2 linked regions of the Sus scrofa genome follow. The protein of the gene in region 1 interacts with the protein of each later gene in a biochemical or structural test. Links are inferred from orthologs where the notes say so. Each region holds a gene or a part of one and is shown in the gene's direction. Other genes may lie near its edges.

Evidence for each region.
Region 2: of the proteins of CCNB1 (region 1) and ZC3HC1, one has a biochemical effect on the other in vitro, tested with the Homo sapiens proteins (3 studies listed by BioGRID, with this or other methods). The link is inferred for Sus scrofa from reciprocal best matches to the Homo sapiens genes CCNB1 and ZC3HC1.

The regions. Positions count from the first base shown.
Region 1 is NC_010458.4:47,335,703-47,342,779, forward strand, and holds the start of CCNB1 (G2/mitotic-specific cyclin-B1), read left to right. Parts: upstream 1-2,536; 5' UTR 2,537-2,668; coding exon 2,669-2,689; intron 2,690-3,297; coding exon 3,298-3,468; intron 3,469-3,561; coding exon 3,562-3,738; intron 3,739-5,663; coding exon 5,664-5,846; intron 5,847-7,077. UniProt on the Homo sapiens protein: Essential for the control of the cell cycle at the G2/M (mitosis) transition.
Region 2 is NC_010460.4:18,752,858-18,759,151, forward strand, and holds part of ZC3HC1 (nuclear-interacting partner of ALK), read left to right. Parts: intron 1-1,848; coding exon 1,849-1,976; intron 1,977-2,832; coding exon 2,833-2,987; intron 2,988-4,023; coding exon 4,024-4,264; intron 4,265-4,909; coding exon 4,910-5,122; intron 5,123-5,684; coding exon 5,685-5,891; intron 5,892-6,294. UniProt on the Homo sapiens protein: Required for proper positioning of a substantial amount of TPR at the nuclear basket (NB) through interaction with TPR.

The DNA.
Region 1 (7,077 bases):
CCACATGCCATGAGTGTGGCCCTCCAAAAAGTCACACAAATTTAAAAAAAAGAAAAGAGATGATTCGCAACATAGTAAATCAACTATACGTAAAGATAAACTAAAAATTAAATTTAAAAAAGGAGATGATCCATGAAAGTTGTATCAATTAAACATCAAAAGTCAACATTCTTAACAGAAATGAGTCACAGATGTGTACATAGTTGGCAAGATTTCTAAAGTCTGGCAATCTCGGAGAATTGACATGAGACTGGATAATCACCTGTGTGTGTGCCTATGGGGTGCGGGCTGTCTTGTGCTTGGCAGGATGTTTTAAAGCATCTCTGGTCTCTACCCTCTAGATGCCAGTAGCATCTTCCCAATTGTGACAACTAGAAATGCCAAGTGCCACCCATGAGAAAAAATGTTCCCCAGTTGAGAACTGCCATGTTAAAAGAATTTCCTATGGTGAGGATAGGGTATTCACTTAGGTCTGCTAAAGGCCTGGTATCCTAGAGTCATTCATTCAAAGTACGTGGTTTTTGGCTCAGCAGAAACAAACCTGACTAGTATCCATGAGGATGCAGATTCAATCCCTGGCCCCCCTCAGTGGGCTAAAGGATCCAACCTTGCCATGAGCTGTGGTGTAGGTTGGAGACTTGGTTTGGATCTGAGGTTGCTGTGGCTGTAGCAGTGGCATAGGCTGGCAGCTGCAGCTCCGATTTGATCCCTAGCCTGGAAACTTCCATATGGCACGATTGCGGCCCTAAAAAGAAAAAAAATGTATGTGCTTTCTCAGCTTCAGCTAGCTGGAGAGAGCCCATGGCAATGGGAAAACAATGTTAGCATTTCCTAAGCAAGTGCTGCTGTGAGGGGAGGTGAAATCGAAGGGAACTTGATGAGGAGCATGGTTTTAAAGTGTCTTCTCACAGACACTTTAGTTGTAAGAAAAAAGCAAACAACTAAGTGTACAGTGCCAAAACCAGGTAAAAGCTTAGCCAAGTGATCAAAATTAATCTCCCTTATGGGGAACAGGTGAACACCACATGTTTGCAAAGTTGATCCCCTTAGAATATGATGTCACCTCCACGGCATAATAGCCAAAAATGCATAACCTCGGTGTAAATCACAGGAACCATTAGACAAACACAAAAATAAGAAAGTTCTATTTCCTAAAAAGTGGCAGGGAGTACTGCACTCTTCAAAACCATCAGTGTTCAAAAAACAAAAAAAAAAAAAAAAAAAAAAACAAAGACAAAGGAAAGCTGTGGGAACTGTTCCAGACTAAAGGAGGCTACATGCAACACTGACCCTAGCTGGATCTTGTACTGGAGGAAAGAAAGTGCTAGAAACTGCTCAAGCGACAAAATTAGAATACAAACTAGATTGAATAAAATGTTATAGTAAATTTACGCAGTTGCTAATTCTATTGTGATTACATTAAGAGAATATGCTTTTTTCCTTAGGAAATACACACTAAAAATTTAACAGATAAGGAGCCATGATATATATAACTTACCCTCAAATATTTAAGTGGTTTTTTGTTTGTTTGTTTGTTTGTTTTTTTAAGGGCCGCACGTGCAGCATATGTAAGTTCCCAGGCTAGGGGTTGAATCAAAGTCACATCTGCAGCCCACACCAGAGCTCAGGGCAACTGAGCAAGGTCAGGGATGGAAACTGAATCCTCATGGATACCAGTCAGGTTTGTTACTGCTGAGCCACAACAGGTATTTCCAAGAAAAAAAATTTATATACAGTTATACATAGATCTATATATAAGATTAAGTAAACCATAAAACAAATGGGGTAAAAATGTTAAGGATATTTGAATCTGGATAAAGGCTCTATGTGTGTTCCTTGTTACATTTTTGTCTGAAACTTTTGTAAGTTTGAAATTATTTTCAAGTAAAAAACTAAAAGAAAAAGATTGGCTTTGGGAAACAACTTGATTGAAGTAATCTGGCAGGTTAAGAGGCAGCCTGGCTTGCAAAATTAAGAGACAATTAGTGTGTGGAAACCTCATGGATCCAAAGAAAGTGAAGTTCAATCCCGTGTTACTAATTTGTGATCCTGGGAGTCACCCAAAGCATCTCGGAGCCTCCTTTTTATCCCAGAGTGCTGTTGGAATGAACAAACGAAAAAAGAATGTATATATAAAAGTATTTCCTGCTACAAGCCACTCTAGGAGAGGAAAGTGTGTTTAACAAGTAGGACTAAAGCCATAACTGCCCCTCACGTCAAACAAGGAGCTCCACTCTTCCTTTCCCAAGGCCGCTGTGACTTGTCTCAGCTAACTTTAGTCGCTTACAAGTTCACTGCTCCAGGTGTGGGGCAAAGAGAACCCTCCCTTCATCAGGTGGCAGTAGCGGCTGCCCCAGGGCGCAGGCGCCGAGTCAGACCACGTGACGGCCTGGCCCCGCCCCCGCCCGAACTTCTTCGCGGGATCGCCTTGGAAACGCATTTTCGGAGGAACTGGCCGCCGCCAATGGGAAGTGAGCGAGTGCCACGAACAGGCCAATAAGGAGGGAGCGGTGCGGGGTTTAAACCCGAGGCGGGGCCGGATTCCTCCCGGCGTGCTGCGGAGGAACGGCTGTTAGCTAGTGGTGGCTTCAAGGTCCCCGGCTGGTCGGGGCTCCAGTGCTCTGCTTCTCCCCTCTGAGCTGCTGCCTGGCCTGGTACAGAGGAAGTCATGGCGCTCCGGATCACCAGGGTGAGCTGCTGCGGTTGGTGAACAAACGCGGCTCTCCTGACTCCTGGGTCTCCTCTCCCTGTTTCCCCTGCTGGAGTTCCCCCACGGTGGGAGCGAATTTGGAGAGGAGGAAGGCGGTCGGTGGGCCCCTAACATACTGGGAGAGTTTGGGGGGCAGACGGACGGAGAGAGAAAGGTGCAAAAGAGAAGCGGATGGGCCTTGGACTAATTGGGGGGAGGGGGCAGATGGAGGGTAGACCGGAAACCTTTTGTAAAAGGTGTTGGAGGACCCGAGTGGGCTCCCACCAATTGCGCAATCTTCTTCCCTGAGGGAAAGGGAAGGTGCCTGCAATTGAAGGCTTTTTCGATTTCCATGGTATTTTAGGTCCGGCGGGGACTGAGCACGTAATCCCTCAATAGGTGAACGGAGAGGTTCCAGGAGAAAACTGACTTGTCATAAGCTTAGCGTAGACCCTGGAACCCCGGTTTCCCCTGGGAACCCATTCACAGTCGGCTTTCCTTCTGAGGGCCGCAGTTTTTTTTGTTGTTTTTTTTTTTTGCCCCGCTTTAACCCTTGACTTATTTTAACGTGGCGGGGCCAACTCCCAGACTCGTCTTGCTTCTTACAGAACACGAAAATTAATGCTGAAAATAAGGCGAAGATCAGTATGGCAGGCGCAAAGCGCGTGCCTGTGGCCTCTGCTGCAACCTCTAAGCCCGGACTGAGGCCAAGAACTGCTCTTGGAGACATCGGTAACAAAGTCAGTGAACAGCCACAGGCCAAACTGCCTCTGAAAAAGGTAACTATGCTGATTCAACTATTCTGTGAGTGTCTCCCTTCCAGCTGTGGCTCTTGGTGGAGAAACAATCCATTCTCTCCTTTTCATCCACAGGAAGCAAAAACTTTAGCTGCTGGAAAAGTTGTTGCTAAAAAACTACCGAAACCTCTGGAAAAGGCTCCTGTACCTGTATTAGAGCCCCAGCCAGAGAGGGAGCCCGAGCCTGAACTGGAGCCTGAACCAGAACCTGAGCCTGTTAAAGGAGAGAAACTTTCCCCTGAACCTATTTTGGTAAACTTTCTGGACCATTTTAGAGTCTGTTGATTGTTTGTTTCCTTTCATTTTATTCAAGTATGGAATAGCATTTGAACAAATAGTAGTAATAGTAACATTTATATAGTACTTAACAGGAAGTAGGTTCTGCTAAGCACTGTACATGCATTAGCTCACGTTAATAGTATACTCAGCACTGGTATTCTTCTAGTCACATCTAGTCAATGACAGAATTGGGTTCAAACCCAGCCTATCTGGCTTCAGAAACTGTGCTTTTAATTGCTTTGTTTTACTACCCCTCCTTTGTTTACGGTATTGAGTGGTAGCTGCAGGGACCAAAGATTTTGCTGTCTTTAAGGTACCAGTCATCTCTGACCAGAATATGTTGACTGAAGCACAGATTGTTCTCTTTAAGTCCTTTTTGTTTACTCCCTAATGTGGCCACCAAATAATAATAAGCCAACACCGAAATATATAAATGTGTAAAGCAGAAAATGTAGCTCTTCAGAGAGCAGGGTAAGAAGATGGCTTAACACTTGGCCTCAACACCAAGAACTTTTTATTAAATATCAGATATTAAATGTATCTTCTTCTGTGAGGGAAAAATATTTCATCTAGAAGAGGCTGCTTGGCTGAAATTGCAATGAATTGCATTCTTAAGTACTAATTTTTAATATCTCCTTAAAGCTGGTTGGGAAATGGTCTGTTAAAGTCATTCAGCCTCATTGTATGTCTAAGGGAAGGGGATGTGACTGAGGCTGTGGATTTAATATTGACCTTCTGGACACAGCACAGAAAACTGTAGCATGCACAGTCTTTGTTTTATGGGATTTTTTTTGTGGTTTTCATTTGTTCCTTTTTTTTTTCCCCCACTCTTTAATTGACCATACCTCATGACCTGAGCTTTCATTTAAAAGTCCCATAGTGATTCTAACCTTTGCTTCCCCACTTACAAGAATACTTTTCCCACCCTCTTTCATGTAACTGATAACCTTTTCATCCTTCATAACAGCTCAAGCATCAACACCCAAAGCTTTCTTTAACTTCCCCCATCCCCATCTTAACTTCCCCCACCCTACTCTTGTTCCCAGAATCAGTCTCTTTACTTCATTTACTTCTTTGTTTTGTTTTTTGTTTTTTGTCTTTTGTCTTTTTGCCATTTCTTGGGCCACTCCCGCGGCATATGGAAGTTCCCAGGCTAGGGGTCTAATCGGAGCTGAAGCCACTGGCCTACACCAGGGCCACAGCAACGCTGGATCTGAGCCGCATCTGCAACCTACACCACAGCTCACAGCAACACCGGATCGTTAACCCACTGAGCAAGGGCAGGGATCGAACCCTCAACCTCATGGTTCCTAGTCAGATTCGTTAACCACTGAGCCTCGACGGGAACTCCCATTTACTTTTTCTAAATTCAAAGCTTCTTGAGGACATCATAAAGCCAGTGTCTAGCACAGGGCTTGATTTGAAGAAAGTGCTCAGTCAATGTTTGGACCACAGGGTAACTGGAGCTTGAGGAAAATGGTTTGTGATAACAAGTCAGTTAATCCTTAGTAGTCAGAACAGAACTTGTGTTCTTTTGGGCAGTGGGAAACAGTCCATAATTTGAAATAAAGACTAAGGATTAACATATTCACTTGGATTAACTTCACATGACATCGCTAAACAGATCCATTACTTACCAGTTTTATTTGGAGGAAAGTCTTGAATATGAATTTGCTTCCTCTCTGTTGTAACTGTTTAGCTGCTGCCTCTAAATTGGCTCAGCCTAAGTTGGCATTTTACTTTTCCTATTATTTCCTGAAGATACACTGAATAAATTTGAAAAGCTAAATGAATTGTATATCTATTCAGCAGGTAGTCTTTTGAGTTGGTACCAGTTATCTGACCTTTATTCGCAGACCGTGTGCTCTTCTTAACTGTTGTTTCAAAATCTGTTTCAGGTTGATACTCCCTCTCCAAGCCCCATGGAAACATCTGGCTGTGCCCCTGCAGAAGAATATTTGTGTCAGGCTTTCTCTGATGTAATTCTTGCAGTGAATGATGTGGATGCAGAAGATGGAGGGGATCCAAACCTTTGTAGTGAATATGTGAAAGATATCTATGATTATCTGAGACAACTTGAGGTCAGTATAGTAGTACAGAATCTTTGTTTTTTGTCTAAGCTGCATCTAGCTTTATCAAAGAGATACTCCATTAACAGTTTAAGCATTTCTAGGCATTCCCATTGTGGCTCAGTGGTTAACGAATCCGACTAGGAACGATGAGGTTGCGGGTTCCATCCCTGGCCTTGCCCAGTGGGTTGGGAATTGCATTGCCATGAGCTATGGTGTAGGTCGAAGATTCGGCTCAGATCCCGCTGCTGTGACTGTGGTGTAGGCTGGCAGCTACAGCTCCAGTTCGACCCCTATCCTGGGAACCTCCATATGCCACAGGTACAGCCCTAAAAAGACAAAAGACAAAAAAAAAAAAAAAAAAACCATTTAATCATTTCTTTTGTTGTTGTTGTTGTTGTTGTTGTTGTTGCTATTTCTTGGGCCGCTCCCGCGGCATATGGAGGTTCCCAGGCTAGGGGTTGAATCCGAGCTGTAGCCACCGGCCTACGCCAGAGCCACAGCAACGCGGGATCCGAGCCGCGTCTGCAACCTACACCACAGCTCACGGCAACGCCGCATCATTAACCCACTGAGCAAGGGCAGGGACTGAACCCGCAACCTCATGGTTCCTAGTTGGATTCGTTAACCACTGCACCACGACGGGAACTCCCCGTGTAATCATTTCTTAAAAGTAGGTTCCACTTTTAAATTCTTAATGAAACACCAAAAATAAACAAGCTGGTGATCAGGGAAAGTTCAAGTGAGTGGGTAATACCATGCTTTAATTTTTTGTCTCTTTCTTTCTTTCTTTTGTTTTTTTTTGGGCTGCACCCCATTTTGATCAGGGAAAGTTCAAGTGAGTGGGTAATACCATGCTTTAATTTTTTGTCTCTTTCTTTCTTTCTTTTGTTTTTTTTGGGCTGCACCCCCAACATACGGAGGTTCCCAGGCTAAGGGTTGAAAAGGAGCTATAGCCGCTGGCCTATGCCACAGTCACAGCAACACCAGGTCCCAGATGTGTCTGCGACCTACACCACAGCTCATGACAACACTGGATTCTTAACCCACTGAGCAAAGCCAGGGATCGAACCTGCGTCCTCATGGATACTAATCAGATTCATTTCTGCTGAGTGCCATGGCTTTTGTAAAGAAAGTCAGATTGAATGATAATATCCATCACAGTTTGGGGTGGGTGAGTCCCAAATTTGGGTTTAAGGAGGCTAACAGGCTGAAGGTACATGATAATAGAGATGCTGAAAAA
Region 2 (6,294 bases), on another chromosome or scaffold:
GGCCTCTCCCGCAGCATATGGAGGTTCCCAGGCTAGGGGTCGAATCGGAACTGTAGCCACCAGCCTACACCAGAGCCACAGCAATGTAGGATCCGAGCCGCGTCTGCAACCTACACCACAGCTCATGGCAACGCCAGATCCTTTAACCTACTGAGCAAGGCCAGGGATCGAACCTGCAACCTTATGGTTCCTAGTCAGATTCGTTAACCACTGTGCCACGACGGGAACTCCTGATAAACTCTTAAAGAGTATTTTATAGCCCTTGAATATAGAAAGTATCTCTTTTATTTTTAACTTTTTTTTTGTCTTTTATGCTTTTAGGGCAGCACCTGTGGCACATGGAGGTTCCCAGGCTAGGGGTCCAATTGGAGCTGTAGCCGCTGACCTATGCCAGAGCCACAGCAATGCCAGATCTGAGCCGAATCTTCGACCTACACCACAACTCATGGCAATGCCAGATCCTTAACCCATTGAGTGAGGCCAGGGATTGAACCTGTAACCTCATTGTTCCTAGTTGGATTCGTTTCCACTGCACCACGATGGGAACTCCTGATTTATTTATTTATTTTTTCCCACTTTTTTTTATTACTCAAATGAATTTATTACATCTGTAGTTGTATAATGATCATAACAGTCCAATTTCACAGGATTTCCATCCCACAACTCAAGCACATTCCCCCACGCCCCAAACTGTCTCCTCTGGAGACCATAAGTTTTTCAATGTCTGTGAGTCAGCATCTATTCTGCAAAGAAGTTCAGTCTGTCCTTTTTCAGTTCCACATGTCAGTGAAAGCATTTGATGTTGGTGTCTCATTGTATGGCTGACCTCACTTAGCATGATAATTTCTAGGTTCAGCCATGTTGCTAAAAATGCTGGTATTGGAACTCCTTATTTTTAACTTTTTTTTTTTGTGTGTGTGTGTGTGTGTGTGTGTCTTTCTGCCTTTATTAGAGCTGCTCCTGTGGCATATGGAAGTTCCCAGGCCAGGGGTCTAATTGGAGCTGTAGCCATCGGTCTACATCACAGCCACAGCAATGCCAGATCCAAGCCGCGTCTGCAACCTACACCACAGCTCACGGCAAGGCCAGATCGTTAACCCACTGAGTGAGGCCAGGGATTGAACCTGAAACCTCATGGTTCCTACTCGGGTTCGTTAACCACTGCGCCATGATAGGAACTCCTGTCTCTGTATTTTAACCTTATCTTTGCCAAGTCTCCCCACAGGAGTACTGTGTTCTAACCCTGTGAAACTATTTAGAATTCCCCAGATGTGCCATCAGAGGGATTTATTTCTCCCTCCACCCCCCCAGCTGCCAGGGAACTCCATTTAGGGCTTTACTTTTACACACTGTTGTTAATTTTTCAGATTCAGCTTAGGAGTTCCCATCGTGGCTCAGTGGTTAACGAATCCGACTAGGAACCATGAGATTGCGGGTTCGATCCCTGGCCTTGCTCAGTGGGTTAAGGATCCAGCGTTGCTGTGAGCTGTGGCGTAGGTTGCAGACATGGCTTGGATCCCACGTTGCTGTGGCTTTGGTGTAGGCTGGCAGCTACAGCTCCGATTAGACCCCTAGCCTGGGAACCTCCATATGCCATGGGAGCGGCCTAAGAAATGGCAAAAAAAAGACCAGAAAAAAAAATTCAGCTTAGACCTGACTGCTCCTGAGAAACTGTTCCTGAGACTGCTTTTTAAATGTAATCACAAAAGTATCATCACAGCCCTATCAAAAAAATGAGGAATCTCTCAATGTCATCATCTTATCAATTTTGCATTTCTTTTGTTCTATACATGCTTTTAATTTTTACGATTTGCACCCACGTAATCTCCCAGTTTACTTTTTGCGCAGATCGATTTGGGATGTTGCCTTTGGATGAGCCTGGTGTTCTTGTTAGTGAATTCTTAGATCGTTTTCAAAGCCTTTGTCACTTGGACCTCCAGCTTCCTTCCCTGAGGCCAGAGGACTTAAAAACTATGGTGAGTTGTCCTGTCTAGCATGCACTAGCCTTCAGTTTTCACCAGCATGATGCATTTATTTTAATGACAAGAGGGTGCCTTTTTTAAGATGAGAGGCTACTATAGATTTTAGCACCAAACTGTTAACGTCTGATTCCTGTTATAAATGTCCCCCTGTCCCTGAGCCAAAGCAAATTTTTTTCACCCTGTCATAGTTCTTTATTATTCTTAGAACAGAAATAAAGGCTGTAATAAGCTCTTTTGCTGTGTCAAAAGTAAATTCAGGAGTTCCCGTCCTCGTGGCTCAGTGGTAGCAGACTAGTATCCATGAGGATGCAGGTTCTATGCCTGGCCTCACTCAGTGGGTTAAGGATCTGGCCTTGCTGTGAGCTGTGGTGTAGGTCACAGGTGCAGCTCAGATCTGGCGTGGCTGTGGCTGTGGCTGTGGTGTAGGCTGGCAGCTGTAGCTCCGATTCAACCCCTAGCCTGGGAACCTCCATATGCTGCAGGTGTGGCCCTAAAAAGACCACAAAAAAATAAATAAAAAGTAAATTCATTGTCAGACCAAGAAATAAACAGTAGTCCGTTGTCATTATTTGGGTTTGAAGTTTACAGGTTTTAAAGTTAGTGTGAAGATGTGGTAGTTCTAGGAAAACTGCTCCATTTCTCAATCAGCCGACCCAGGGCAGTTCACCAAGCTTGTGTGTGATGACCTTAGCCTGTACTAGAAGTCAGTCTTCTCCAATAAAGAGAATTGCCTTCATGTTTGTCGGTTTTTTTCATGATTTTTGCTTTGTACCATCTGGGTACATCGTTATCTGTCACCTCTTTTTATGGTGGTTGAAACTTTAAGTCTTTCATCTTGGTTCCTTTGTAGTGCTTGACAGAAGACAAGATCACTCTTCTCCTGCACCTGCTTGAAGATGAACTTGATCATCGAACTGATGAGAGAAAAACTGCAATCAAATTAGGCTCTGACATCCAAGTCCACGTCACTGCCTGTATTCTTTCCGTGTGTGGCTGGGCGTGTAGGTTAGTGAGCTTGCCTGGGAACATGAACTGCGACGACATTCTTTCCCCATATATGTCAGTCACTCATAGTATGTGGCGATCACATGGTGTTTCCTGTGAGAAAAACAGTAAAAAAGAAAAGCTAAGGGGGTGGAGGGGGGACAATAAGAATTAGTAACAATGAGAATTAGAACTCAGGAATTCTTTTTTTTTTTTTTTGGGTCTTTTTGGTCCTTTTTTTTTTAAGGGCTGCACTCGTGGCATATGGAGGTTCCCAGGCTGGGGGTTGAATCAGAGCTGTAGCTACCTGTCTGCACCACATCCACAGCAACTCAGGATCCAAGCTGCACCTGCAGCTTACACCACAGCTCATGGCAATGATGGATCTTTAACCCACTGAGCAAGGCCAGGGATTGAACCTTTGTCCTCATGGATGCTAGTCAGGTTCACTAACCACTGAGCCACGACAGGAACTCCCACAACTCAGGAATTCTTGAACACACCTGGACTATCACTTCCCAGCTGGGAATTTGTGTTCCTATAAGTGGTGAAGCTCCTTATTAGTTTTAAAAAGGAAAAACCAGTTTAATTGATAAAAACTACCCAAGGAAACACCAGCTGGACTCTTCTTGGCCCCAAGCCGGTGTTTCCATTCCAGCTGCTCACTTTGGCACAGAGTCTTCTGAGACAGAAGACTGTCAGACCGATTTGGATTTACTCTAAATATGCTTTCTGTGGTAGCTTAAGGAGTATTTTTCATTTACAAGGAAAAAACTTTTAAAAGGGACAGGAGAAATTTCGAAAGCACACCTTTAAAACAGTCTGGCCATAGAGCACACACTAAGAGGCCTGGGTCTTTCCAGAGGAAATATGTGAGAGGTGATGAAGTTGGGTCCTGAGATCAGAGGACAGGGGCCCTGGCGGAGGTGGTTCCCCGTCCACCGGCCGTTACAGAGATCTGCTCGCTGAGGTTACGCACACTCGCCGACCATTGTGCTTAGGCCCTTGGAAATGTGACCCTCTGCAAAAACGCCCTTTCTTTTCTGTTCCTGCCCAGTTCTGCTCTGGAGCCCGTGCAGCTCTCCCTGATAACATGTTCACAGTGCATGAGGAAGGTGGGGCTCTGGGGCTTCCAGCAGATGGAATCCCTGGCCGACCTGGATGCCTCCTTCGGGCTGACCAGCTCCCCTGTCCCCGGCTCCGAGGGCCGGCCCGAGCGCTTCCCTCTGGTGCCTGAGTCTCCCCGGAGGATGATGACTCGGAGCCAGGATGCCACGTTTTCCCCAGGCTCAGAGCAGGTATAGACGTGGCTGGCTTGTGCGGGGTGGGCTTTTTACAAACAGCACTCTTGCCAGAGTGTTATTGGTGGGAATGAACTTAGATTAGTTAATTTAGGATAATCTTCACTTCTAATTACGTGGATCAGAATACTTCAGAGTGGTTTTATTCACCAGTTGCAGTGGAGATGCCAAATTCATTATTTTGTGTAGAAATCTAGTATTCTTTTTTTTTTTTGTCTTTTTAGGGCCACACCCATGGCATATGGAGGTGCCCAGGCTAGGGGCCTAATCGGAGCTACAGCTGCCTGCCTACACCATAGCCACAGCCACGCCGGATCCTTAACTCACTGAGCAAGGCCAGGAATCAAACCCTCAACCTCATGGTTCCCAGTCGGATTCGTTAACCACTGCGCCACGACAGGAACTCCAGAAAGTAAATTCTTATAGTTTATAAAATATCATCTTTTGGGGTTCTCTTGTGGAGCAGGTTAAGGATCCAGTGTTGTCACTGTAGCAGCTTGGGTCGCTGCTCTGGCACGGGTTCCATCCCTGGCCCAGGAACTTCCATATGCTGCAAGAGCGGCCAAAAAAAAAAAAAAATTAACTTTCACATGCTTCTAGAAATATTTCATTAATTCCATCACCTCCCTTCTCCTTCTTCAGGCTGAAAGGAGCCCAGGTCCCATTGTCACCCGAACTCGGAGCTGGGACTCTTCCAGTCCTATTGACCGTCCTGAGCCTGAGGCCGCTAGCCCCACCACCAGAACCCGCCCAGTGACCCGAAGCATGGGCACAGGAGACACTGCTGGCCTGGAAGTGCCATCTAGTCCTCTTAGGAGAGCCAAACGAGCTCGCCTCTGCTCCTCCAGCAGCTCGGTGTGTGCGCCTGCGTGTGTAGAGGTCCCTGAGCACAGTCGCACGCCAGGAGAAGCGGGCATGAGCCAGTCCTGTGGTTCTGAGGAGGCAATGGGAATAAGTTTACGGATGGGACAGTTGGGGGGAGTTCCCAGGTGGCCTAGTGGTTAGGATTTGGTATTGTCACTCCTGGGGCTCGGGTTTGATCCCTGACCTGGGAACTTCCAAATGCTGCAGGCACAGCCAAAAAAAAAAAGGGGGACAGTGACCAGAGAGGAAAAAAATGAAAGGCTTTGCCATTTGTTTCTCTGAGATGAATTCTGAGGGTATAATAAATGTGTCGGGCCCATGGGACGGCAGTGAGGAAGGGGGACAGACCTGATACGGTATAGGTTTACCCCGAAGGGAGGGAAAGAATTTGAAAATACTGAGAGGGAAATAACATTTAAAGCTGATTTAACGGAGAACATAAAATGAGAAATGTGGGAGTTCTGAGATTCTAGACTTGACAGCTAATAGCAGAGCCTCCCTGAGTTGACGTCGTATCTGCCCGTCATCAACACAGTTTCTCTTCCCCCCTCAGGACGCGTCTCCCCGAGGCTTCTTCGATCCCACCTCTCAGCACAGAGACTGGTGCCCTTGGGTGAACATCACACTTGGCAAAGAAAGCAAGGAGAGTGGTGGAGCTGAGGTGGATGCCAGCACCCCTGCAGAGCCGGGCTGGAGGGCAGTGCTGAACAGCCTCTTGGCCCACAAACAGTCTAACCAGCCCGCTGAAACCGACTCCATGGTAAGATAAGCCGTTGCTGATCCTGTGCAGCACTGGCTGTTTATGGGGTGAGGAGCAGAGGCTGGTCCTATAATTAGCACCCTATCTGCCCACAGCTTTCATTCGTCGAGGTAGACTCATCCTAAAAGAACAGGCAGGGGCCTGGTTCAGTCTTGCTGCCATTTCCCATATGGCATTCCACCAATTTCTGATAAATTCTTTGTCATCTTAACTCAAACGACTCAAAGCAGAAAAGGGGTACAGGAGCACAAAAAGAGGACTAGGCAGCTGCTCCAGCCTCGTGGGCAGAACAGCTGCTCTTTCCATCTGAGTTGCTCTCACTTGCACTTGACGCCTGGCCGGTGAACTTCGTTGTCTGGAGCACGTGCTTGGCTACCACCATTACGATTTCATTCCTCACGGT